6 linked regions of the Neurospora crassa OR74A genome follow. Each later gene encodes a partner of the first gene's protein in a complex. Links are inferred from orthologs where the notes say so. Each region holds a gene or a part of one and is shown in the gene's direction. Other genes may lie near its edges. The genes, in order: NCU07380, NCU05889, NCU07831, NCU03876, NCU00040 and NCU02813.

Region 1 (4,001 bases):
CAGTCGGCAGAAACAAGGGAGAAACGGAGATCCATGTTGCTCGTCTTCAATGCTGGAGGGTTCGACAACTTTCTGATACACGAGAGAAAAAGGGAAGGGAACAAAAGCAACTAACAAGTGCCCCTTGGTTCTACCTTTTTTTAGACTCGAGCGTCCATGCATGGAACACATGACATGGCTACTAGAACGAGGAACCGGCACCGAAGACAGAGCGCAGCGAGAGCCCTGCGGCCACGCACTCATGGCTTCCTGTCCCCCCGAGCCCTTCTCCGAGCTATCGCCAGAGAGCCCTTTCGGGCACACCAACACCATTCACGCTCACGCTCACGGTCACCCCCCGATGCCTACTAGCATAAGCGGTGGTGGTCAGCGCACATGGGAACTCAGCAAAGCCGACCTGGCTACGCTGCTCGACCTAAGCAAGCGGCTAGATCTCGACGGGGAGATCACTCCTGTCATGGCTTGGGGGATGATCCTCGCTCATCCGCGGCTTGCCGAGTTGCAGCTGGAGGACTTTGCGCGGTTGACGGAGGAGTTGGGGAGCAAGGTTCGGTGTTACGGGTAGGTTTTGCCTTTCAGTTGCCGAAAATGCTTTCCTTTGCCTGTGTCTGTCAAAGTGAAGCAATGGATTGCTAATTTGTTTCTTCGGCGTGGTTGTAGGTTTGGAGCTGTGATGGAAGAGTTTGAGGTTAGGGATGCGTTGGAGAATCTGTTTTCGACAAAGCCGGATGGAAGAGTGTTTGAGGATTTTTGAGAGGACGGTGCTGGTGCGGTCGCCTATAATAGCTGGCTCGACGACTGATGAGGGAGGCCTTGGCAGGTATCTTTTTGTAAACATTACCTACCCATGTTTAGACAAGCTGGAAACTAAATCAGTTATCACTGAACCGGCCTCAAAATGCCATTCAGGGCATGATGGAATCCAAGCCCTCTCGAGAGGGAAGTGTCAGAATAATACTAGCAACACCGAGCAAAGGCCAACAAAAGATGTCAAAGAAAGGTGTACCGGAAATGGTGACAACATGAGCGTTGGGCTTGCTAGGGTGAAGACGGTGAACCTACTTACCTGAAATCCAAGATACTGATTGGTCAGTTGCTCGTCGGTGAACCCCCATGCCCGCCACGGTGTAGAGGTAAGGAGCTAGGTACGGAGAGCCCCACACCACACAATTACCCCACCCTGCGAATTTCTGAGTTTTGGGGCAATTTGCTGCACGGCCCGGACAGCAGAATCCCACAGCGACACAGCCCCGGCGAATTCGAAGCAACCCCTCCGAGTCCTGGGTCCTCTTTTTATTTTTGTCTTTGCCAACTTGCGCCAGGTCCCGACTATCGATATTATTCCGATATCGTTTCATCGCCCACATACGACAGCCAAATCATGACAAACCCTACTCCTGGCCTTTCGGGCCTCGTCGACCTCATCGACTCCCTCCCCGACCTGGGTGCCACTTGGGGCCCCGCCATCACCACCGAGACCACTCTCAATGGCGTCCCCTACGCTCCCTACTCCAAGGGCGACAAGCTCGGCCGCATGGCTGACTGGACTGCCGATTCCAAGGATGGTCGCGACGGCCGTGGCGGTCGCCAGCAGTACAACAGGAACTTCCGTGGTGCGTTATCCTAGCCGGCCTCTGTCCTCTTCATGACCCTTTTGAGGTCTGGATGAGAGTGATGATGTTTACTAACTTCCCACTCCAGACCAGCAGATCTACGGCGCCGGTTCCACCTCCATCTTTGCGCCCCCCGTCGCCGAGGACGAGTCTTCCTTCTCCGTTGTCTCCAACGTCAAGGATACTGGCAAGACCCGCTTCGGTCGTGGTGCTGTCTTTACTAGAGGCCGTGGCCAACGCGGCGGTGCTGGCGCCCAGGCTGGCAGGGGTGGTGGCCGTCAGACCTTCCAGAGGACAGGTCGCGGTGGTCAGCAGTACGGTGGTGGCTACGACGGTGGCCGCGGTGGCCGCCAGAACACTGGTGCTCGCGGTCGCCGCTTCGGCTGGAAGGATTATGACAAGCCCCAGCGCAACCGTGATGCTTCGATCAACATCAAGGGTGACTGGAAGTTGATTGAGGAGATTGACTACAACCGTCTCAGCAAGCTCAACCTCGAGACCGACGAGGGTGAGGATGTCGATGACTACGGTTTCCTTTACGCCTACGACCGCTCCTACGACAAGCCCGTGGTCAAGAACGCCGAGCGCAGGCTCGCTGCCATCGACCGTGCTGCCTACAACGTCACCACTTCTTCCGACCCCGTCATCCAGGAGCTCGCCGAGAAGGACGAAGCCACCATCTTCGCCACCGACAACATCCTCTCCATGCTTATGTGCGCTCCCCGCTCCGTCGCTCCCTGGGATATCGTCATTTCCCGCCAGGGCAACAAGATCTTCTTCGACAAGCGCGACAACGCCGCTCTCGACCTTGTCACCGTCAACGAGAACGCCGCCGACGCTCCGCTCGACGCTTCCGAGGGTTCCAAGGATGGCATCAACCAGCCCCACGCCCTTGCCGAGGAGGCCACCTTCATCAACCACAACTTCGCCAACCAGGTTGTCGTCGAGAACGAGTCCGAGAAGGTCAACATGGCCCACGAGAACCCCTTCTACAACGCCTCCGAGGAGAACGTTCCCCCTGCCTCCAAGGCCTACAAGTACCGCCGCTTTGACCTCTCCACCAGCGAGGAGGAGTCCACCTTCTTGGTTGTTCGTACTGAGATCGACGCTGTTCAGAAGAATGCCACCGACGGCAAGAACCAGCTCGTTACCGTGCACGCCCTCAACGAGTGGGATAGCAAGGCCCAGGGCGCTGGCGGTGCCCTCGACTGGAGGACCAAGCTCGCATCCCAGCGTGGTGCCGTTGTCGCTACTGAGATGAAGAACAACAGCTGCAAGCTCGCCAGGTGGACTGTCCAGTCCATTCTCGCCAAGGCCGACGTCATGAAGCTTGGGTAAGTTTTGCGCCTTATGTTGATCAATTCTCAATACTAACCACTCTTTCTTTTTCCCCGATAGTTTCGTCTCCCGCGTCAACCCCAAGGTCAACGACAAGCACGTTATTCTTGGCGTCGTTGGCTGGAAGCCCAAGGACTTCGCCAATCAGATGAACCTCCAGCTCTCCAACGGCTGGGGTATTGTCCGCACCATTGCCGACATGTGCCTCAAGTCCGAGTCTGAGGACGCCAAGTTCGTCCTCGTCAAGGACCCTAACAAGAACATTCTTCGTCTGTACGAGGTCCCCGCCGGCAGCCTCGACGAGGAGGCTGAGGAGTTGGACCAGGTCGAGGAGGATGGTGAGGAGGCCGAGGAATAAAATACCTTTGGGCGTGTAGAATGGGTCATGAAATAGAAGAGGCTTTTGCTGAAAAGGAATAGAAAGCCTCTATAATGCAAACTGTGTGGGAGGGTTATGAGGATTTGGGGATCTGAGCAAGTGCGATATGCTCTCCCCTGGACCGATGGGAAGCGGAGAATAAAAGCAGTTTTATTATTCAGTTAAGGAGCGTTTTTTTGCTACTTGTGTTTTGAGATATATGGTTGGTTTCTTTCGAAGGCGTTCATCAACCGAGAATGTCACTCATGGCAGGACTTTCATATGCCGTCTCGAGAAACAAAAAGGTGGTCTGCGTTGACAAGACTGAATGGAGACATGGGCGTGGCTCGTGTAGCGTACACAGTATTTGGTTCAGATATTATGCAGCGGCTTATGATTGCGGGGAAATACCCATAGACAAAAATTTCGAAGTCGACAGACTTTGAAAGGATAGTTGATCGCTCGCGCGTCAATTCAATTGTCTTGATTCTGGCGATTCTTTGTTGAAGGGCCACTCTAGTCTCACGTGACTTCGCGACGCTTTTTGGCGTTTGTTGCTTCCCTACCAACGCAGATTTGCCCCTCGCGTTCTTTGCCGGGCCCGTTTGCTGCCCGTTTGTTGCCCGCTTGCAGATCCATCATGCATGTCTTCGCCACTGCGACTGAATAGGTACTAACCCACAACTCCGGCT
Region 2 (4,145 bases), on another chromosome or scaffold:
ACCTGTCCTTTCTGCTGCAGGTTTAACCCTCTTCTTGTTTTCTTATCGCCCTATTCTTTTCTCCCATCTCAACCCGTTGTCCATTGTCCCATGATCTTCGAACCTCTACCTCTTTGCCTCTCTTTCCGAACTTCCAACTCTTTTCCGATTTCTCTTCCATTCATTCCCTCACTCTTGATGTCATACTGCCTCACCCTTCTTGCAAATAGCAGCAAACCGGCAATGCAAAAAAACCAAACAAAAAAAACTTACATCAACCTCCAAATGTCCTGTCGGCACCTTCACCCGCACCTCCTTCACCTCCAGCCCCAAGAACTGCGCAAGATCCCTGCGCAGAGCCTGGCCATCACCTTGCACCTTCTTGATCTGGGTGAGCTTCTTGTTACCACCGCGCTTGGCGAGGTGGTAGACGGGCAGACGCTGGGTCCAGGCGCGGCCTACTAGGTAGGGCTTCGCAACGGGTTTCGTGGATTCTGTTGGCGCGGCACCGGTCTGGGTCTGGATAGGGGTGGTGGGTTGTGTGGTGGGCTGCTGCTGCTGCTGCTGCTGGAGTGGTGTCGTTGTTGTGGCTGTTGTTGTTGGTTGCGATGCGGCGGCAGCGGCGGAGTAGAATCGGGACTGGAAGGCGGCGCGGACGGTGAGGGGCGTCGCGGGCTGGACGATGGCCCGGGAGAGGCCGAAGAAGGTCGAGCGGAACATGGTTGTGGTGTTGTGTTGTGTCGTGTGGTGGTGTGGTGGTGGTGGTAAAGACAGAAAGAGGTCGAATCGATCGAGCTGGGCTCGGTTGGTCGCAACGGGATCTGATAGGTAGGTAGGTAGGTAGGCTTGGCTGGGATCTGGAGTTAGGTCAGACTGGACCTGCGCTGCGGCCAAGAGGTCCCCGTTTCGGATGAGGCGCGTTCAATTGCTGGCTCGCTGGAGTCGGATCGGTCCCGCGTCCCGTGCCCTGGGCCGTGTTCCTCTCGGCGCGGCGGGTCCGTCGTCGGGTTCTGGAAATTTGGTCGGTACTCGGCAGAATTATTGACCGCCCGGGCGTCCCCGCGTAGGTACCCGCGCAGGTGCTCTGCCCCCCGTCCGGCGGGATGTGCGCCGAGCGAGAGGGACGAAAGCCTGAAACTGTGTGCCCAGGGCGTTCGCTGAAGCTCCAGGCCTTGGGGTGCCTGATCTGGGCTCTACACTTACCCCTCCCGTGGTGCCTAGACGGAAGTGGAAGTGGAAGTGGCACCGCATTCAGCTGCCGTGCAATTGTTGTGCGACAGAGGCAGCATTGAACCGAATTCGATGGCCCGTGCTTTTTGTCACTGGTCAGTGGTGTCAAGCGCATTTTCCCAATTTTCGACCCCACCAAAGATTGACGACGGGCCACCACAACTGGACGGGGTCACAAAGAGAAATTTGGCGGATCGCATTTCCAAAGCGCCTGGCAACTGAACGAACGAAGCTGGAGACCGGACACGCCCTTTCCATCCATATTCCTCTTCCTTTCACTTCTGATAGTAGTCGACCGACCCTCCCCCGGCCCTCTATCTTATCCCACCCACCGTAATACCCCCCCTCTCTCCTCTCCAGGCCTCGACTCGACCCGATTCCGACTTGACCTTGTCGTCGTCCACTCAGTGTCGTCTGTCATCACCACCATCCAACATCATCACCACCACCATAGTCACAGACACACAAATCCAAAACATGGCTTCCACATCCCCCGCCACCACCAACGGCGACGTTGCGCCCGCCAACTATGACCTCGTCCTCAAGCTCGCTCCCCATCTCGACCGCCACATGATCTTCCCTCTCCTCGAGTTCAACGCCGGCCGCCTTAAGGAAGATGAGACCGACAAGGCTCGCGAGATCCTCGCCGCCAAGTACGCCCTCCTCAAGAAGACCAACATGACCGACTACGTCGCCAACCTCTACTGCGAGCTCGAGGGTCTTAAGGAGCCCCCCGCCGAGTACGCCGAGCGCCGCCAAAAGGTCTTCCACCAGCTCGAAAAGTACGAGCAGGAGACTGCCAAGATCACCGAGCTGCTGCAGCGCGACGATGTCGTTAACAACCTCCGCTCCGACAAGGTGGCCAACTTGGAGTTCTTGAAGAAGGAGCACGACGTACGTCCTACTTTTTGTTTCCATCGGCACATGTGGCTTGTAGTACATGGCTAACCCCCATATCCTGTGCAGGTCACCATCGACATGGTCAACGCCCTCTACGACTTTGGCCAGCTCCAGTACTCGTGCGGCAACTACGCCGACGCCTCGGAGCTCCTCTACCGCTTCCGCGTCCTCTCCACCGACAACGACAAGGTCTCGTACGCCACATGGGGTCGTCTCGCCTGCGAGATCCTCACCATGAACTGGGAGTCCGCCATGGAGGAGCTGCAAAAGGTGCGCGAGAGCATCGACACCAGGCTCGCTAACAACCCCCTTGCTCAGCTGCAGCACCGCACCGAGCTCGTCCACTGGGCCCTCTTCCCCCTCTTCAACTACGACAAGGCCCGTGAGCCCCTCCTCGACCTCTTCTTCAACGCCGGCTTCATCAACACCATCCAGGCCAACTCGCCCTGGATCCTCCGCTATCTCACCGTCGCCGTCATCACCAACCGCGGCCGCGCTAAGAACGCCGGTGTCCACCAGAAGCAGATGAAGGACGTTGTTCGCATCGTCAAGCAGGAGGCCTACGAGTACCAGGACCCCATCACCCGCTTCGTCCACGCCTTGTGCATCGACTTTGACTTTGAGGAGGCTCAGCAACAGCTCGTGCTTGCCGAGGAGGTCCTCAGGAGCGACTTCTTCTTGCTCGCCCACGCCGATGACTTTGTCGACTCGGCCCGCCACCTCATCTTCGAGAGCTACTGCAAGATCCACGCCCGCATTTCGCTCAAGGACCTCAGCGCCCGCCTCGGTCTTAATAACGACGACGCCGAGAAGTGGATTGTCAACCTCATTCGCGACACCCGCCTCGACGCCAAGATCGACTACAAGGAGGGTACCGTTGTCATGAACCACCCCCCGAGCTCCGTGTATCAGCAGGTCATTGAGCGCACCAAGGGCGGTTTCTTCAGGACGCAGGTTTTGACTGCTGCTGTTGCCAGATAGGCGTGTGACAATAGCGGCAGTGGAGAACTGACTGATGGTGGCGGCAGAAGTATACCCGGGTCGACATGTCAGGAAAGCAAGGGCGATAAGAGGATTGTGAAGGAATGATTATGGCATGGGCTCGATCGCAACGCATGAAAGCGGCGACTGATTTCTCGTCGAATGTGAGACCAAGATTATCGCCGACGATTGGAACGCGGCGAGCATCAAGTGGCCAGGCGAACTCAGTCGCTTCATGGCAGGCGAACTGCTTCAGCGTATGGGCTTCAACTTGACCAGGACGAGTCTCGGATAGATCCCCTCCCAGCATCTTTTATGCCATTGCAATGAGAGGATTTGAAAGTGCGAATCCAAAAAGGGTTAGCGATGCATTTCGAAGAATAGACCTTTTTTTTCTTCTTTCGTTCTCATCTGCCTCGATAGTCTTCTCTATCTCTCAGCGTTTGGCAATTGTCGCTATTTGTCGTGTGGGCATGGGCTCGGGCGGTAGAGGCAGCAAGGGAATTAGGACAATGGAAGGAGGCCTTTTACGTCATGACAACAACCGGTGTAATCATACCTCTTTAGTGTGTGTGTTTTTTCTTTTTACAGGCTTCTCATCAGGCGTATCAAAATGGTTATGGCTCATTGCTTTTAGCTGGCTTATGAGTCAGGTTGCCTTTCCCATCAGTAACATTGTTCATCGCATCATGGTAACCTCCACTTGGTCCCTTCTTTATAGCAACTGAGCTGGGGTGATCAACCAGGAAAAACTGTGGCAACCAATTATTGAGGTATGCTCCTTCCCTTCCTCCATATCTGCGTGGTATCGTCCATCTCCCGCCTCTTCCCTTTTCACTCTTCTACCAGGGGCATTCTTATTTTCGTCCTTTCCAGCCTCCAATCAACATACAATATCCAAGCCACCAAGTTGGGCAGTTGTATTTGTCGCAGAACGACCAATGGCTGCCCGATACAGTTTCCAGCTAGGTAGGTTCATACGGCACAGGCTGACAGGCTGCAGCTGTATTGATATGGCGTTACCCCCGCTTCGAGTCCTTGTCTCCTTGAATTTT
Region 3 (4,223 bases), on another chromosome or scaffold:
GCATGGGGCATGAACTTGAGCGCCCCAAGATAGCTGCGCTTGTCACTGGTGTACTTTTTCTGCGAAACATCCCCAATATCCTTGACGATCTTCCGCAAGTGCTCTGGTGGCATGTCGGCCTTTTCCGTCTCAACAAATCCGCCCTTCCTCTTCTCGCCGAAGCGATTTCTCTGCATGCGAAGCCATTCCTTCTTCTTCTGGGCGAACTTGGCAACATGAGGGTCGGTTGGTGGAAAGAACCCAGGCGGCGGCGGTGCTGGGAGGGCAGGAGGAGGTGGGAGAGAGGACGGAGGCGGCGGCGGCGGAGGTGCTGATGGCGGCGGAGGAGCGCCCCAGCCGGGGGGAGGAGGTGGTGGTGGCGGATAGGACATTTTTTCGATTTCTGCTTGATGAAGCTTTGTTGACGTTTATGTGGTTGTTTCGTTGTAATCGTCTTCGTCAGAAGCGTGTACCAGTCGGCGTTGGCGACGAGATGGATAGAAGGCTGGATACCGTGAAGTCGCCTGTCCGCGCGATGGCGGTTTGCAGTCCGCGTGCGTCGTTCCAAGGCCTGTCTCGCTGAGGAAGAGAAAAAAGGACTGGCAAATATTAGATTCCCATTGGTTTTAGATGGAAATGGGCGTAGGTCGACCTCGCACCAAATCGCGGCGATGGTCGATCAAGCTGAGAATGGAGAGGTGGATGTTGTATTCGTGAAAGTGTGGTTTGGTGGCGCCAGGATGCTGGCGTTGACGTTGGCAGGTTGGCCTCGTTACGAAAAACTTGAACAGCCTCGCGACAGCTGCGTGGGCGGTCGATAAAGTTCAGAGGTCAGGGCGGGCGGTCCAGGTCCTGGCGCGCAAAACGGGAAACCTGGCAGCGGGATTCTTCGCTGTGCAGGTGCTTGTTGGCAGCTGCAGCCCGGTAGCGTCCCCGCCACTCCAGTTAGTGAAAGAGGGCCTGGGGTTGGTTGCCTGCAGCGACTGGGCAGGCTGGGCTGTCACTTCTCGACTTCGTGGCGAAACGTCTCCTGTTACGTACTGTAACTTTCGATACGCAATCCCCGTTACGTGGTAGATCTGGCTTGACAAGCTCACAGCACGTCTCAGATGCATGTAACCGAGTATAGTGATACATTATCAGTTCAGGTAGCTGATACATTGAAGGTGGGGCATCAGCTGGCTGGCTGTTTGCGCCCAAGTACCCAGACGACAGGTGTTGAATCTCATAGTGAAGGCCTGACAAAGCAATGCTTGATATTGTTCCCTCGCTCCGCTCGCCAAAGTATACACAAAAACCCGTTCCTCTGACAGATCCCTCATGCGAACATCTGCAAGGTTCAGACCTTATCTTCATCTTCTAGGAATCCCGTCCTGCGATCTCCAAGCGGAAGCAGGTACATTCAGCTCATAAGTTCAGCCTCCCCCCCGCGGAGCAAGTATCCTCTCCCCCCACACCCCTTGCTCGGATTAAGTCATACCCAATCATTACAGCGCTCGAGGCCCAAACAGCTCCGCTCGATTCGCTAAGCCCCAAATCGCCCCCACCAAAACGGCCTTTCAGTGAAAATTAATTCTTTGACCCCTCTGTCCGCCTCGCCGCAGCCGGGTTTTGCTTTGCCAACCATCCGGACCATCACCACTTCCGTCCACCACTCCAAGTACCCATACCGGTAACCCGGACTTCTGCATCGCGCCCATACCCCCGGAACCCGCATATTTATTCCGAGTCTATCGAAAGAGACCGCAACCATGTCTCGTTTCTTCCGCGGCGGTGACGACAGCTCCACCGACAGCAGCTCCGAGGAGGAGGAGGTCTACACTTCGGAGGAGGAGGAGGAGAAGGTTCAGGCCGAGGACGAGTCTTCGTCTGAGGAGGAGTCTGACGAGGAGGAGAGCGACGAGGAGTCCAGCAGCGACGAGGAAGAAGGAACCAAGAAGAAGGGTGCCTCCCGTTTCTTGCAGAGCGACGACGAGTCCGAGGAGGAGGAGGAAGAGCAGAGCGACGATGAAGCCACCACCAAGGTCAAGAGCGCCAAGGACAAGCGCTTCGACGAACTCGAGTCCACCATCAGCCAGATCCAGAACGGCCAGAAGATCAACGACTGGAGTCTTATCGCCAACGGTTCGTATATCTTTCATGCATGCATACACCCTCGATATGTCCTGCACCGATACTTACTCCCCTCCCCGCTTTAGAATTCGACAAGCTCAACCGTCAGGTCGTCAAGCTCCAAGATGGCAGCAAGGCGCCCAAGTCCTACATCAAGGCCATTGCCGATCTTGAGGACTTCATGAACGAGACTCTCGCCAAGCAAAAGGTCACTCCCAAGAAGATGAACGCGACAAATGCCCGTGGTCTCAACGCCGTCAAGCAGCGCATCCGCAAGAACAATAAGGAGTACCAGACCCAGATCGATGCCTACAGGAAGGATGCGGACGCTTTCATGGAGTCGGATGATGAGGTTGCCGCGCCCAAGGTTGTTTCCAAGGTCCGGTTCGAGGCTCCCGTCGTCAGTGCTGAGCAGCAGGAAGAGGACGACAAGGGCTTCTCTACGGTCGATTCGCGCGGCAAGGTTGTTCAGTACACCCCCGAGAGCATCCTCAAGCACCTCCGCGCCATTATCGAGTCTCGCGGCAAGAAGAACACCGACCGCCTCGAGCAGATCAAGGTTATGGAGACCCTCAACAAGGTCGTCCCCATTACCCCTTACCAGAAGATCCGTGTCCTCCAGACCCTTATTTCTGCCCGCTTCGATCTTGGTGCTGGTGGCGCCGCCCAGATGCCTTTGGACCAGTGGAAGGCCGCTGAGCGTGACCTTGCCTCTCTCTTGGAGATCCTCGAGAAGGAGAAGGACCATGTTGTTGTTGAGGGCGCTGAGGAGTGGGATGATGATGACAAGCTCCCCACCATCCCCGAGGGTGAGAAGTACCTCAAGGTTCCCGGCAGCGTTGTCTCGCTCATTGAGCGTCTCGATGACGAGCTCACCCGCTCCCTCCAAGCCATCGATCCTCACACCTCTGAGTACATCGACAGGCTAACCGATGAGGGCTCTCTTTACAACACCATCTTCCGTGGTCTTCTTTACTACGAGCACCTCCGCAAGGATGCTTCCCTCGAGGTTCCCCAGGAGAGCTTGAACCGCATCATCCAGAGGCGTCTGGACCATGTTTACTACAAGGTATGTATAGAGCTAATGCTGGAATACTCAGCCGTCTTTGCTAATCATCTTCTTTCAGCCCGCCCAAGTCGTCAAGATCCTCGAGGAGAACGCGTGGAAGCAGGTTTCTGCTGAGGCCGATTCTGAAATTACCCCCCGCAGCCAATCCGGCGATGCTGGCAAGCTCATCAACATCCTTTCTAACTACCTGTTCGAGAACAGCGAGGGCATCATCCGCGCCCGTGCCATGCTTTGCCAGATCTACTTCTTGGCTCTGCACGATGAGTACTACAAGTCTCGCGACCTGATGCTCACTTCCCATCTTCAGGAGACTATCGCCAACTTCGACATCGCCACCCAGATTCTCTACAACCGCACCCTCGTTCAGGTCGGCCTTTGCGCTTTCCGCAAGGGTCTCGTCTACGACGCCCAGAACACCCTCCAGGAGATCTGCGGCAGTGGCCGTCAAAAGGAGCTTCTTGCTCAGGGCGTCATGATCCAGCGTTACAGCCAGGTCACCCCTGAGCAGGAGCGCCTCGAGAAGCAGCGCCAGCTTCCCTTCCACATGCACATCAACCTCGAGCTCCTTGAGTGCGTCTACCTTACCTGCAGCATGCTCCTCGAGATTCCTCTGCTCGCCCAAACCGGTTCTTCGCCCGATGTCAAGAAGAGGATCATCAGCAAGACCTACCGCCGTATGCTCGAGTACCATGAACGCCAGATCTTTACCGGGCCTCCGGAGAACACCAGGGATCACGTCATGCAGGCCTCCAAGGCCCTTGCTGCTGGTGAGTGGAAGAAGGCCACCGACTTCATTCACAGCATCAAGATCTGGGACTTGATGCCGAACACCGAGGGTATCAAGACCATGCTCGCCAAGCAGATCCAGGAGGAGGGTCTCCGTACCTACCTCTTCACCTATGCTCCTTTCTACGACACTCTCGCCATTGCTACCCTCAGCTCCATGTTTGAGCTCGACTCTCGCAAGGTCTCTGCTGTCGTCAGCAAGATGATCAGCCACGAGGAGCTCGCGGCTGCTCTTGACCAGGTCACCGAGACCGTCATCTTCCGCAAGGGTGTTGAG
Region 4 (3,727 bases), on another chromosome or scaffold:
CTTGTCCCGTATGCTCGACTTGAATGCGCCGCCGTGTGTTCAGCGACCCGTGTGCGGACAGGGATGTGAGACAGCTTCCGGCTCGACGCGACTTCCTTGACGTGGAAGACACCCTCTGGATGAAGCTGGAGATGGCCATGCCTACACGACGCAGACTGGTACTGTAGAGCTAGAAGAAGGGTGCAGTGGTCTTTCTGCGTGCGTGCTGTAACAACATCACACTGAACAGCAGCGGACGCAGGCTCGGGGTAAGGGATATTCAGAAGCTCAAGACTTCCGCCCGGCCAAGCTCTCTCGACGCCCCCGGGCACCTCCACGACGGGGTGGGACCAGACGGATTCGGGACCCAGGGGTTTTCTGCGCCGCACAGAAGAGTCACAATGGGTTCCCGCCTAGGTAGACGACGGGGGATCGATGTCGAGGATCCAATGATCGCCGGTTTGCTGGCGGGAATAGAGGTTTCGTGATTTGTGATTTTTTTTTCTTTTTTTTTTCTTTCTTTCCCTTCTCGAGGAGTCACCGAAGGTGAGCGTCTCAAGACGTGCCGCAAATGACCAGTGTAAATGTGACAACAAAACGTGAAGCCAATGAGATAACCTAAATAGAATAGAGCCCAAACCCAAGCTTCTCAAAATAGTACGTATTCACCATGCATTCTTGCAAGAATCCTACCATGTCTCGTTAGAAAAGCCTCTATTTCCGTCTACAAATCTCCGAGAGTTGAAGAACTTTTCCTCCTCGATGCGACCCCCGGAAGAGGGCATTCATATAACTGCAATTGAAGTGGGTGTCTAGATGCTGCATCCATGACTCTACAAGTTCTCGGCTTGCTGCAGGTAGCAGCTCGGATCATGATGTGCTCGCACTGTCCTGTCTGTGTCGTTGTTCTAGATTGAAGTTGGTGTGGCTTGCGGCCGCGGCACAGGCTTGACGAATACAGCTGACTCTTAAACTCTGAGTCACAGACTGAGCCACAACTTCTTATCGGTGGCTGTCGACGGGCCGGCAGGCTGCGAGCGGCGGATCGAGGTGGCAGGCTGCATCGCAAGGTCCAGAGTCCGGTCCGAACTGAAACCAGCAGCTTCAATGGATGGCACACGGCTGGCTGGGACGAGGGACTGGAGAGGGGCAGCTTGGCATCTGCAGGGATAGGTGTTGGTTCGCCCCGCGGCCGTCAGAATCCGCCAGAGCCAGCCAGCCTATCGCGCACAATCTGCGGAAAAATTACTGGGAGTGGAAATCCACCCAAAGAAAGAACACCAAAGACCGATCCGACGACGACGACCGCATCTACAAAGACACTAATCCACCCACCTACCTCCCAAGTCGTGCAACCCCCCCCCGCGATATTTCTCGACGACGAATCCACTCAGTGTCTTCTAACGACCATAACACTTCCATACCGCCGTCCACGCCTCGTCATATTTAATAACCCACAATCAAGATGAGGCCCATTCTTCTTTCGGGCCACGAACGTGCCCTCACCCAGATCAAGTTCGTCTTCCCTCCGCATCATCATCGCATACCTTACCCGCCGACCCGACCCCTCTTGGTGTTCTGGCTTTGGCATGTCGGGCATATAGAGATGCAGCCTCTAACAGCAACCCTTTACCCCCAACAGGTACAACCGCGACGGTGATTTGCTCTTCTCAGTTTCCAAGGACCAGCAGATTTGCGTTTGGTTCGCGCACAACGGCGAGCGTCTCGGTACATACCACGGCCACCAGGGCGCCATCTGGACCATTGATGTCGACCCCACATCCACCATCCTCGCCTCTGGTTCTGCCGACAACACCATCCGCCTTTGGGAGATCAAGACCGGCAGACTTCTTAAGACATGGGACTTCCCTACCGCCGTCAAGCGCGTTGAGTTCAGTGAGGATGGCAGCAAGCTTCTGGGTGTGACGGAGAAGCGCATGGGTCATCTGGGTACCATCGTTGTCCTCGACATCAAGCTCGATGTTGACGCCGAGCAGAGCGATGAGAAGGCCATGACTATCGTTTGCGAGGACAGCAAGGCCACTGTTGCTGGCTGGAGTTATCTCAGCAAGTACATCATTGCCGGCCACGAAGACGGCTCCGTCTCCCAGTTCGACGGCAAGAACGGCGACCTCCTCTACAACATCCCCATCCACGAGCTCAACCAGCCCATCACCGATCTCCAGTGGTCGCACGACCGTACATACTTCATTACCGCCTCCAAGGACAAGACCTCCAAGGTATGTCACATGGCTCCACAACCCCCCCCCCCCCCCTTTTTTTTTTCTTTCTTTGGTCTTCTTCCCGGATCCTTAAAACCGAAATCAATGAACAGTCAATCGCATGCTAACACTCCTTGATTATTTTCACAGCTCATCACAGCTAAGGACCTGGAGGTCCTCAAGACCTACCCCGCCGACACCCCTCTTAACAGCGCTACCATCACTCGCAAGAAGGACTTCGTCATTCTCGGTGGTGGTCAGGCTGCCATGGATGTCACCACCACCTCCGCGCGTCAGGGTAAATTCGAGGCGCGTTTCTACCACAAGATCTTCGAGAGCGAAATTGGTCGTGTGCGCGGTCACTTCGGTCCCCTCAACACGGTTGCCGCCGACCCGACCGGCAAGAGCTACGCCAGCGGTGGTGAGGACGGTTACGTCCGTATCCATCACTTCGACAAGGGTTACTTTGACTTTATGTACGAGGTCGAGAGGGAGAGGCAAAACAAGCTCAACCAGCAACAACAGCAGACCATTTCTGCCTAAACGGATCCCTTCTATCGACATCGATCGAAACTTTCGGACTTTCAGCAAGCAGGATCCGAGGAGGGGCGGCAGAAAGGGGCGGAAAGGCGATTCGCGGGACGAAATATGGGTGTCGTGTTATTGAGTTCAGGATTCTCTCGACTTGTCGGAGGAAGGAAATGAGCAAACGGGTTATTTTACATCGCGCGTCCAGGGATCCAACAATTTGGGGGAAATGGGCATTTCACAAACGGCGTTTTTTTCAGGCAACCTAATCTGAGAATTTGGGCGATTCCACCCAATATTTGGTGAAAAAAAAAGTGAAAAGGAGCAAAAATTGGAGCGATGAGGTGGTGCGGTTCGATGTGAAGCAAACGAACGAACAAGTGAGTCGCGCGGAGAGCGGATATGTAATTTCCATCTTGTCACGAAAGGAACCTTTGGTCCCTATCGAAGCACAGAAGAGTCATTTGTCATAGTTGAATTCGGTCGTTCTTCTGCTTACTATCTTGCGCAACCTCGTTCATGTGATATCAGATTGGACGTTATAAGTAGAGGTCTTTCGCCAATTGCTTACTCACTCCCTTATGGTCAATAAGAATCCAACACAAGTGGAAACAATAATACAGGGGTAAAGGAAGTACAAGACTGCGCACATCATGCCCTATTCATCCATCAGAGAACGGATTTGACCAAAAGGATATCTTTTGTTCCTCAGGTAGGCAGAGAAATCCCTCGCTAAATGACGGCAGGTGAGATAACCATCACCGAGACCGCAACATGAATACGACACAACGGAAACGCCGCGAGCCAACTGCATTAACCCTCCCTGGACTCTTCTCAGTGGTGAACCGAGCCCCTTCACCCAATCTAACCCAGTCATATGAAACGCAACTACAGCTTCGAATACCAAGCCAAGTCAATACATGTGCCGTAGCTTGTATTTTTGGTCTGGACCACCATCAGGCGGTCTACTTCTTCTTTCCCTTGGGGGCAGCCTTGCC
Region 5 (4,267 bases), on another chromosome or scaffold:
CGGAGAAGGCGCAAATGGATCATTGACTGTCCCGAGGATTGAAGAGAGGGAGGAATTGCGGACAACGATGCCAGGAATGCTTAGGACCGACACACGATTGACGATTCCTAATAGCAAGTCTTGGGAAGAGAAGGGGCGCCCATATGGAAGTTCCTTCATTCCTTCAGTGCCACTGGCGGGCCCCGGACCGCGACGGGGGTCAGTGCGCAGCCTGTAGAACCAGTAGCAGCGCAGCAGGGAACGGTTCGGTAGGCGGGTGCAGTCCGTGCAATTCCCCAGCAGGCATGGACGCCCCAGTCTCCCCCTGCTTGGCCTGCTGCAGTGCTGCGCTTTTACCTGCACTTGCACTGCTGCAATGCTGGTCGCTTTCGGTGCTGCACTCCTCTTCTGGGCAGCCAAAGCAACCCAGGGCGACGAGGAAAAAAAGGGCCAAGTGCAAATGAGACGGACCAGGGGGTCGCTTAGCAGGGTTTGGTTAGATTAACTCGACACTAACTACGACCGTAGACGGAATGGGTGCAGACGAGTTAGTATCAAGACAAGATAGCAAGTATCACCACGAGCTCCGCATTCAGGATGAGGTGCCGGCCTCCCTATTGTCCTGCCCCATCCGTGCCATTGTGATTGACATTGTTGCAAGCTTCTGGAAGCGGGACTGGAGGTCAAGATCTAGGAAAAGAAAAGCACGATGGAGGCCGTTGAAGATGGACTGCTGCCACCGCCGCTGGATAGGCAGGGACAGGACTAGTCCGACCAACCGACGGGACCTTTTTTGGATCTGTCGGTGCTGCTGTGCATGAAAGCTGCAGCAAGAATGGCAAATGCAGGGCAGTCAGAACACGACGGGTTCCGCCCCCACTTTATCGTCCCCCCTTTGATGGTCTAGCGGAACCACCCCGGCTCAGCAGGCATCTCCGGACGGGATTGGGAATGGCGCCATTGGGTGGGTGCCCACTTGCTCCGACCGATGATGGACGCGAGCTTGAACGCTCTGGGTGGGACGACGAGGGTACAGAGGAGAGCCTCCTGTTTCTGCATGTATGTATGTATGTATGTATGTACACTACAGTAATCACAGACCGTGAAGTCCTATGCAGTTGCTGGTGTGCATTCAGCTACAGGAGAAGAGTTTGCAGCCACTCTAGCAGTTCAAGCAGCGATATCATATGCCTTTTAGGAGGATATATGTTCTTACTGGGGATTATCTTCTCAATACTCGACCGAAGTTCGCACCACGATTCTGTTCCAAGTTCCAACTAAGCCTCAAAGTGCAATTTCGTCGATGACAGCCGTGAGAAAGCTTGGCAAGACCGCCGACGGTCCGTCATCGGTCAAGGCGGGGGTCCGTGGCCCGGCAGAGAAGAACGCCCGTCGCCAGCGGGCTGGGAACTCGGGCACAAAGAAAGAACAAAAGCCGCTGTGCACACACACCATGGAGCTCCTTTCTAGTGTACACCAGACTGGACAGCACCAGACGCCAAGATGGCAGAACATCCCACTTGCCCTTTGCGACAATCCAACCTTTTTACCATTGTGCACAATAGCCTCACAGCAGATCACGGTTAAGATCAAGAAAATAATTGCATCTCAGTCAATCCCCATTGCTACAGAAGTGACCAAACATCCATTCGCACAACAACTTGCACTTCACGCCTCTGAGTTGTTGTCGCAGCGACGTGCTCGATAAGCTGCATCACGTGACTGTCCCGCATCATCCCAGCCCACAAAGTGCTCCTCAGCAAAATCGAGCCTCTAGCCTTGGCCAGGGCTTTTTTGGCTGGCAACGAACTGAACTTCTCCACGAGGCGAAAAAATCGTCCTGGACAGCGCAGCCTCAGCCAAAGTCTCCAGCATTTCTACGTGCTGCTTTGCGCGCCGCGTCCCCTATCACCACTTTATCCATATCTCCTCCAGATTAGCCAAGTGCCGAGGAGTTGCCCATCATGGTGAGTTGGGAATACAGCCATAGCCTTATGGTTATGGCTTCGAGTTCATATAATCTTCTGCCCCTCCTTTGACTGGAAAGCCAACTCCATCGTCACCTAACCTCATCACCGCCCACCCTGCCCTCCACCCCCCCCTTCAACCCTCGACCACCCCCGCTCCCCGCCTGTCCCGCTCACCACCAAGTGTCGTCGTGTGTTGTGACCCGTGGTGACCATTACTGATCATCAACAGCCTCCCCCACCTCACCAAAAGCCTGAGAATGTTCTCAAGCGCGCCCACGAGCTCATCGGGGTCAACCAGGCCCCCGCCGCCCTGACCCTGCTCCACGAGCACATCACCTCGAAGCGCTCCCGCAATGTCCCCATCGCCTCCCTGGAGCCCGTCATGCTCCTACTCGTCGAGCTCTCCGTCGAGCAGAAGAAGGGCAAGCTCGCCAAGGACGCCCTCTACCAGTACAAGAACATCGCCCAGAACACCAACGTCGCCACCATCGAGTTGGTTCTCAAGAAGTTCATCGAGCTCGCCGCCGAGAAGGTCACTGCTGCCCAGGCCAAGGCCGACGAGGTCCAGTCCAGCATCGAGGCCACCACCTCCAACATCGACGATCTCGAGGCCAGCGAGACCCCCGAGTCCATCCTGCTCGCTACCGTTTCCGGTGAGCAGTCTCGCGACCGCACCGACCGCGCTATCGTCACTCCTTGGCTGAAGTTCCTTTGGGAGGCTTACCGCACTGTTCTTGACATTCTCAGGAACAATGCCCGCCTCGAGGTTCTCTATCAGAGCACCGCTATGCAGGCTTTCGACTTCTGCCTCAAGTACACCCGCAAGACCGAGTTCCGCCGCCTCTGCGAGCTTCTCCGCAACCATGTCCAGACCGCCGCCAAGTACTCGGCCCAGATGCACGCCATCAACCTGAACGACCCCGATACTCTTCAGCGTCACCTTGAGACCCGTTTCCAGCAGCTCAACGTCGCCGTTGAGCTCGAGCTCTGGCAGGAGGCTTTCCGCAGTGTTGAGGATATCCACACCCTCCTCAGCCTCAGCAAGCGCCCCGCCAAGAACGTCATGATGGCCAACTACTACGAGAAGCTCACCCGTATCTTCCTTGTCGGCGAGAACTACCTCTTCCACGCCGCTGCTTGGGCTCGTTACTACAACCTCTTGCGCCAGTCTGCTGCTCTCATTGCTTCTGGCCACAGCAAGAAGGCTGATAACCCGGCTTGCAGCGATGCTGACCTCCAGAGGGCTGCCACCTTTGTCATTCTCTCCGCCCTCTCCATTCCCGTCATCAGCACCTCGCGCTCTCGCGGTGCCATGGTGGACTTCGATGAGGCCCGCAAGAACAAGAACTCTCGTTTGACCCACCTGCTCGGCATGGCCCAGGCTCCTACCCGTGCTGGACTCTTCCGCGATGCCCTTTCCAAGTCGCTTCTCCGCCGCGCCCAGCCCCAGATTCGCGATCTTTACAACATCCTCGAGGTCGACTTCCATCCTCTTTCCATTTGCCAGAAGATTTCCCCCATTCTCGCGGAGATTGGCGCCGATGCCGAGATGCAGAAGTACATCCTTCCTCTTCAGCAGGTCATTCTCACCCGCCTGTTCCAGCAGCTTTCGCAGGTGTATGAGACTGTCGACCTTGAGTTCGTCGAGAGCTTGGCTCAATTCCCCGAGCCTTTCCAGGTCACTCGCGGCACCATTGAGAAGTTCATTATGAACGGCAACAAGAAGGGCGATCTCGCCATCCGCATGGACCACGCCACTGGCGTTCTTAGCTTCGATGCTGATGTCTTCTCTTCCGCCAAGGCTGTCCACGCCGGTTCCTCTGCCGGCTCTGCCGAGAGCGAGACTGGCTCTGTACAGCGTCTCCAGAGCACTCCCTCCCAGATTGTGCGCTCTCAGCTCACTCGCCTCGCTGAGGCTCTTTACACCACCTGCCGCTATATCGATCCTAGCTTCAACGAGGCTCGCATCAAGGCTCGTGATGAGGCCCTTGCTCGTGCTAAGGCTGGAGCCGAGAAGGAGCACCAGGAGGTCCTTGCTCGCAAGGAGATCATCCAGACGCGCAAGGATAAGGCTTCTGAGGCTCAGGCCCAGAAGGAGAAGGAGAACGCTCGCAAGAAGCTGCTCCAGGAGCAGGCCCTCCAACAGGCTGAGGCCGCCCGTCTTGCCGAGGAACAGAAGCTCCGCGAGGCGAAGCGTCTTGCCAACGAGCGCGAGCAAATCAAGAGGAAGGAAGTTGAAGCCCTCCTCAAGGATATGAAGCTTGAGGAACTTCAGGGTGAGGACATCGAGACCCTTGACAGCAACAAGATCCGCATGA
Region 6 (4,196 bases), about 2.9 Mb from region 1:
GGTGGTGACGGCGCCGGGCTGGGGAGAATGACTGACTGAGTGAACTGAATGATGCTACTGTGCAGTTCGCGAGGGACTGGGATAGGCCGCGGGCAGTGCTAAGGTATTGGGGGGGGGGGGGGCCTCCACCAGAAAGCAACCATACAACGTCAGGGACTCACAGTGTACATTACCTTACAACCTAGGCCTTGATGACCGCGCCCCAAGTGGAAGCTTCCCTTTTCCTCACTTTCTTCCACTTTTTCGCTTGGAAATCACGCCGCGCCTCGCCATAACTCCACTCTTTTGGCGCGTCTAAGTCAACAAATCCACAGAAAGGGAAACAGCATCCAGTTGACAACATTGATTTTATTCAGTGCTCTATGAAATATCCACGTGTATATACAATCTGAGTTATACCCCCACGGGGCTTTGTTTACTGTTGCTGTCTCTGTACGCTAGGTACACTTGTTGACTTTCTTTCGGCGGTGCACACCCTCAGCCCTGGTTGAATGTCACCATGTGCATTGCATACATAGTAGCGTAGGGCTGGTTGGTCATCACTCTTTTTCTCGGGAATCTATTGTGGGTTCATTGTGACTCTTCACCATCCTTCTGGGCTGTCAGGCGTGCCGGTCATTTGTTATTTTGAGACTCCCATCACGTCAGTGGAAAAGGGAAGGAGCTGATACAATATCCTCAGGCTGTAATGGAAGGTGGCCGTTGCCCGGGTCACCACCACACTTTTAAGTGTCTGCCTGGATATCCGATTCGGATGCCCCGTGACCCCCTCTTTGCTTCCCGCTTCTGTTTGTGTTTTAGGTGACCTAGCTTACAAAGGTGACTGTTGCAACTGGCTAGAGTCCCATTTTTGTCCTGATGGATACGATGGTGAAAAGTCGAAAAGAAAATATTCGATGATGTAGCGAGTTCAATAGTTTTGTTTTGATGCAGCCGAATACTCCAATCAAGGTGTGTCGTCATTCCCGTGGTTGATATCTCCACAGCCCACGGCAAGTAACTGCGAACCTCGATCGAGTGCATCACATCATATAGGAAATCATATTGTTCGAGTGGTCAGAAATCTCGACTTGGATAATGGATTTGTCAAGTTCGAATCCTTCGATTATTCATCAGGTGCGTTTGTTGATATCCATGTAAGAGAATCATGGATGGGAATGTGACTTTAAGAAGATCGGATTTGGAGAAGCTGGGGACAATGTCAAGCGCACGGTGACAAGCAAAGGAAAAGGGACTGAAGCCCGGGAGCTTGACATTGTCAAAGACCTCGCTGGGACGGACCACCCCATGGGTCAGGGTTTTCTATGTCACAAGCAGATGACTGCAATAACCCTGACCATCGACACAGCTCCTGCACGTGACTGGCTGGAGCACACAGAACAGCTCTTCTTCAGCACAGGGCAAAAATAGGCGGTGGGCTTGGCATTGGAATGCGGGGCATTTTTTTGCTTTGAGAAATTGGGTCGAGGGTCCGGTCAGGTCTCTGTCGTCCATGGGATGAGAGAGGGACACCACACCACTCAGCGAGTCGAGGCCCAGGAACTGTGCAAAGAAAAAGAAAGAGCGGAGCCCTGCCACTAAGAAAACTTCCTTTGGGGCCCGCCCCTCCCTCCCACGTCTGACAGGATATCCGTATCGTTTCCGGCCAGTGTCGACCTTTAGCACCAGGACATACTATCAGATTGTCCCCGGCCATATTTTCCCCGTCGCCGTGTCCCCCGTCCGTCCCTGACTCCGTCCCGCCGTGTGTCTCGCCTCAACCCGACCTCACTCCAGCCTTGAGGTCCAAGTGGGAATAGTTCGATAGCCCCGTCGTCAAACAACCACACACGCACACACACACACACCGTCAACACCCATCAACATGGCTACCCCCCAGTTGATCTTCGTCGACGGCACCTTCGCCGAGCTGGCGCAGGAGATGGCCGACTTCGTCCAGGTCGGCGAGCAGGTCCAGCCTCTCCTCGAGCAGGACAAGCGCGAGGATGCCCTTGACCTCATCGTCAAGGCCTCCCACTCCCTCAACGCCGCCCCCGAGAAGGACTTCACCCCCGCCTACAACCTCCTCATCCACCTCGTCCTCCAGTCCGAGGAGCCCAAGAAGTACCTGCCCACCCTGTGCGCCAACCTTCTCAAGCCCATCACCTCGTCTCCCACCCACGGCTTCACCCTGGCCTCCAATGCGCTCACCACCATCTTCAACCTCCTCGACAAGTCCAACCCGCTGCGCTTCAATGTCTTTATGCAGATCGTCCGCTTCATCAGGCAAAACAGCCAGTTCGACCTCCTCAAGCCCAGGTTAAAGAACGTCGAGGGCTGGCTCCAGGAATGGAAGTCCGACTCGGAGAGCCAGCGCAAGCTCTACGTCGAGGTTTCCGATGCCGCCAACGACGGCGGTGATCAGGAGTGAGTATTTTACCTTTTATAGCATCATGCATTGTGCACCTTTACGGCTTCATGCTAACCTTTGGTCTGCAGGGAGTCCTACTTCTACCTCCTCAAGGCTCTGGCCACTTTCGACCGCGACAACCAGGACGAGGTCGCCTCCGACGAGGCCCAGAAGCTCTCCCTCCGCGCCCTCCGCATGGCCATCTCGTCGCCCACCCGCTTCGACTTCAACGACCTGCGCTCGCTCCCCTCGGTCCACGCCCTGAGCGACTCGCACCCCGTCTACTCGCAGCTCCTCGACATCTTCACCGAGCAGGACCTCGAGGACTACAACGACTTTAGGGACGAGCACCAGGGATGGATCGAGAACGAGAAGCTCGACCACGAGAAGCTGCAGCGCAAGATGCGCCTGCTCACCTTTGCGTCGCTCGCCGCCAGCACCCCGAACCGCGAGATCCCCTACGCCAGCATCGCCAAGGCCCTCCAAATCCCCGACGAGGACGTCGAGATGTGGACCATTGACGTGATCCGCTCCAAGCTGGTCGAGGGCCGCCTGTCACAGAAGCAAAAGGTGTTCTTGGTTCACCGCACCACCTACCGCGTCTTTGGCGAGAAGCAGTGGCGCGAGCTCGGCACCCGCGTCGACCAGTTCAAGACGGTCGTCGATAGGCTCGTCGGCGTCGTGCGCAAGGCCCAGACCGATGTCGAGGCCCAGCGTGAGCGTGAGCAGCAGGAGCTCGAGCGCAAGCTGGCCAACGCCGGTCTTGGCGAGTCGGAGCAGCGCGGCGGCAACCGGGGAGGACGTACCGGCGGTGCCAGACAGACGAGGCAACGCACGGATGATGATGACTGAAGGGGGGTTGCCAACAGGATGTTTTGCTGCAATAATTGGTTGTTGTTGTTAGTAGCATAGAGATATGGGGGGACCTTTCAAAAAGAAAAAAGAGCGATGTCTTGCCCCTGTATCATCCCGCTCGGTCATCAGTTCAGTTCAGTTCATTCGAATGGGAAAGGAATTCTACATCAAAACGGGTTGTTGTTGTTATCTATCAAGGAGTTGTGAGCCCCAAAAAAATACGGAACACTATTTTCAAGGTAGAGCTGCTACACTTTTTGGCGGATTTGCATTTTTGTTGTTGTTGTATCATTCCGAGGAATGGCAGCTTTAGATATCCAGCAATCATCAGGTTTTCTCTCTCCATTTATACATCAGTGATGGATGATATGATGCGTGAGGGCAAATCCAGAAAGGTGGAGTATAGATCATGATACCCAGGATATACAAGGCAACGGAAGCGTAATATCAATGCTTTTTGAGACAAGGTCTATGACCACCAGCAGCAAAGGGAACAATGAATCATCATGCTCAGGCTTCCCAACGATGAATAGTATAAACGCAATACCAAGCCATCTCGACATCTGGAAAAAGACAGAGCAAGTTCAATTTCCAAACGGGAGAAAACCATCCCCATCCATCCACGAACCGCCTCCGCGACTCCATCGCTCCGTCCCTTTCCAATAAATCTGTAGTAGTGTATAGTATTTTAAAAGTTTTTATCTAATGGAACGGCCAACCCCATCTCAGAATTAGTACCTAGAAACCAAGTTTACCTCAACCCCCCATCCCATCCCCGGAGTAAGACAAGTCAAGTCAATCCCCCCCCCCCCCCTACACTAACTAAAACTTATCCCCAAACACCCTCCTCAGCTGCTTTCTCGTCTCCTCATACACCTTCTCCGGCCCCGGCGTCGAATCCACCTTGACCACCTTTCCTTCCCTCTCATAGTGATCCACAACCGGCATGCTC

Evidence for each region.
Region 2: NCU07380 (region 1) and NCU05889 share a complex: the UniProt entries of both Schizosaccharomyces pombe proteins name them as parts of the eukaryotic translation initiation factor 3 (eIF-3) complex. The link is inferred for Neurospora crassa OR74A from reciprocal best matches to the Schizosaccharomyces pombe genes moe1 and int6.
Region 3: NCU07380 (region 1) and NCU07831 share a complex: the UniProt entries of both Schizosaccharomyces pombe proteins name them as parts of the eukaryotic translation initiation factor 3 (eIF-3) complex. The link is inferred for Neurospora crassa OR74A from reciprocal best matches to the Schizosaccharomyces pombe genes moe1 and tif303.
Region 4: NCU07380 (region 1) and NCU03876 share a complex: the UniProt entries of both Schizosaccharomyces pombe proteins name them as parts of the eukaryotic translation initiation factor 3 (eIF-3) complex. The link is inferred for Neurospora crassa OR74A from reciprocal best matches to the Schizosaccharomyces pombe genes moe1 and sum1.
Region 5: NCU07380 (region 1) and NCU00040 share a complex: the UniProt entries of both Schizosaccharomyces pombe proteins name them as parts of the eukaryotic translation initiation factor 3 (eIF-3) complex. The link is inferred for Neurospora crassa OR74A from reciprocal best matches to the Schizosaccharomyces pombe genes moe1 and tif301.
Region 6: NCU07380 (region 1) and NCU02813 share a complex: the UniProt entries of both Schizosaccharomyces pombe proteins name them as parts of the eukaryotic translation initiation factor 3 (eIF-3) complex. The link is inferred for Neurospora crassa OR74A from reciprocal best matches to the Schizosaccharomyces pombe genes moe1 and tif313.

Annotation. Positions count from the first base shown.
Region 1 is NC_026501.1:6,147,114-6,151,114, reverse strand, and holds NCU07380 (eukaryotic translation initiation factor 3), read left to right. Parts: upstream 1-1,201; 5' UTR 1,202-1,381; coding exon 1,382-1,613; intron 1,614-1,701; coding exon 1,702-2,947; intron 2,948-3,011; coding exon 3,012-3,309; 3' UTR 3,310-3,805; downstream 3,806-4,001. Other genes in the region: NCU07379 (bZIP-type transcription factor, variant), read left to right, coding at 145-561, 661-754. UniProt on the Schizosaccharomyces pombe protein: mRNA cap-binding component of the eukaryotic translation initiation factor 3 (eIF-3) complex, which is involved in protein synthesis of a specialized repertoire of mRNAs and, together with other initiation factors, stimulates binding of mRNA and methionyl-tRNAi to the 40S ribosome.
Region 2 is NC_026507.1:4,174,229-4,178,373, reverse strand, and holds NCU05889 (eukaryotic translation initiation factor 3 subunit 6), read left to right. Parts: upstream 1-1,345; 5' UTR 1,346-1,686; coding exon 1,687-2,103; intron 2,104-2,175; coding exon 2,176-3,090; 3' UTR 3,091-3,863; downstream 3,864-4,145. Other genes in the region: NCU05890 (hypothetical protein), read right to left, coding at 253-699. UniProt on the Schizosaccharomyces pombe protein: Component of the eukaryotic translation initiation factor 3 (eIF-3) complex, which is involved in protein synthesis of a specialized repertoire of mRNAs and, together with other initiation factors, stimulates binding of mRNA and methionyl-tRNAi to the 40S ribosome.
Region 3 is NC_026503.1:1,003,716-1,007,938, reverse strand, and holds the start of NCU07831 (eukaryotic translation initiation factor 3), read left to right. Parts: upstream 1-1,423; 5' UTR 1,424-1,730; coding exon 1,731-2,103; intron 2,104-2,177; coding exon 2,178-3,160; intron 3,161-3,218; coding exon 3,219-4,223. Other genes in the region: NCU07832 (pre-mRNA processing splicing factor 8), read right to left, coding at 1-371. UniProt on the Schizosaccharomyces pombe protein: Component of the eukaryotic translation initiation factor 3 (eIF-3) complex, which is involved in protein synthesis of a specialized repertoire of mRNAs and, together with other initiation factors, stimulates binding of mRNA and methionyl-tRNAi to the 40S ribosome.
Region 4 is NC_026506.1:1,995,036-1,998,762, reverse strand, and holds NCU03876 (eukaryotic translation initiation factor 3 subunit 2), read left to right. Parts: upstream 1-1,182; 5' UTR 1,183-1,444; coding exon 1,445-1,494; intron 1,495-1,621; coding exon 1,622-2,219; intron 2,220-2,351; coding exon 2,352-2,744; 3' UTR 2,745-3,227; downstream 3,228-3,727. Other genes in the region: NCU03877 (C-1-tetrahydrofolate synthase), read right to left, coding at 1-139; crf4-1 (chromatin remodelling complex ATPase chain ISW1), read right to left, coding at 3,695-3,727. UniProt on the Schizosaccharomyces pombe protein: Component of the eukaryotic translation initiation factor 3 (eIF-3) complex, which is involved in protein synthesis of a specialized repertoire of mRNAs and, together with other initiation factors, stimulates binding of mRNA and methionyl-tRNAi to the 40S ribosome.
Region 5 is NC_026503.1:2,375,198-2,379,464, reverse strand, and holds the start of NCU00040 (eukaryotic translation initiation factor 3 110 kDa subunit), read left to right. Parts: upstream 1-1,467; 5' UTR 1,468-1,943; coding exon 1,944-1,946; intron 1,947-2,178; coding exon 2,179-4,267. UniProt on the Schizosaccharomyces pombe protein: RNA-binding component of the eukaryotic translation initiation factor 3 (eIF-3) complex, which is involved in protein synthesis of a specialized repertoire of mRNAs and, together with other initiation factors, stimulates binding of mRNA and methionyl-tRNAi to the 40S ribosome.
Region 6 is NC_026501.1:9,034,275-9,038,470, forward strand, and holds NCU02813 (eukaryotic translation initiation factor 3 subunit M), read left to right. Parts: upstream 1-1,408; 5' UTR 1,409-1,864; coding exon 1,865-2,406; intron 2,407-2,478; coding exon 2,479-3,241; 3' UTR 3,242-3,696; downstream 3,697-4,196. Other genes in the region: NCU02812 (uridylate kinase), read right to left, coding at 4,067-4,196. UniProt on the Schizosaccharomyces pombe protein: Component of the eukaryotic translation initiation factor 3 (eIF-3) complex, which is involved in protein synthesis of a specialized repertoire of mRNAs and, together with other initiation factors, stimulates binding of mRNA and methionyl-tRNAi to the 40S ribosome.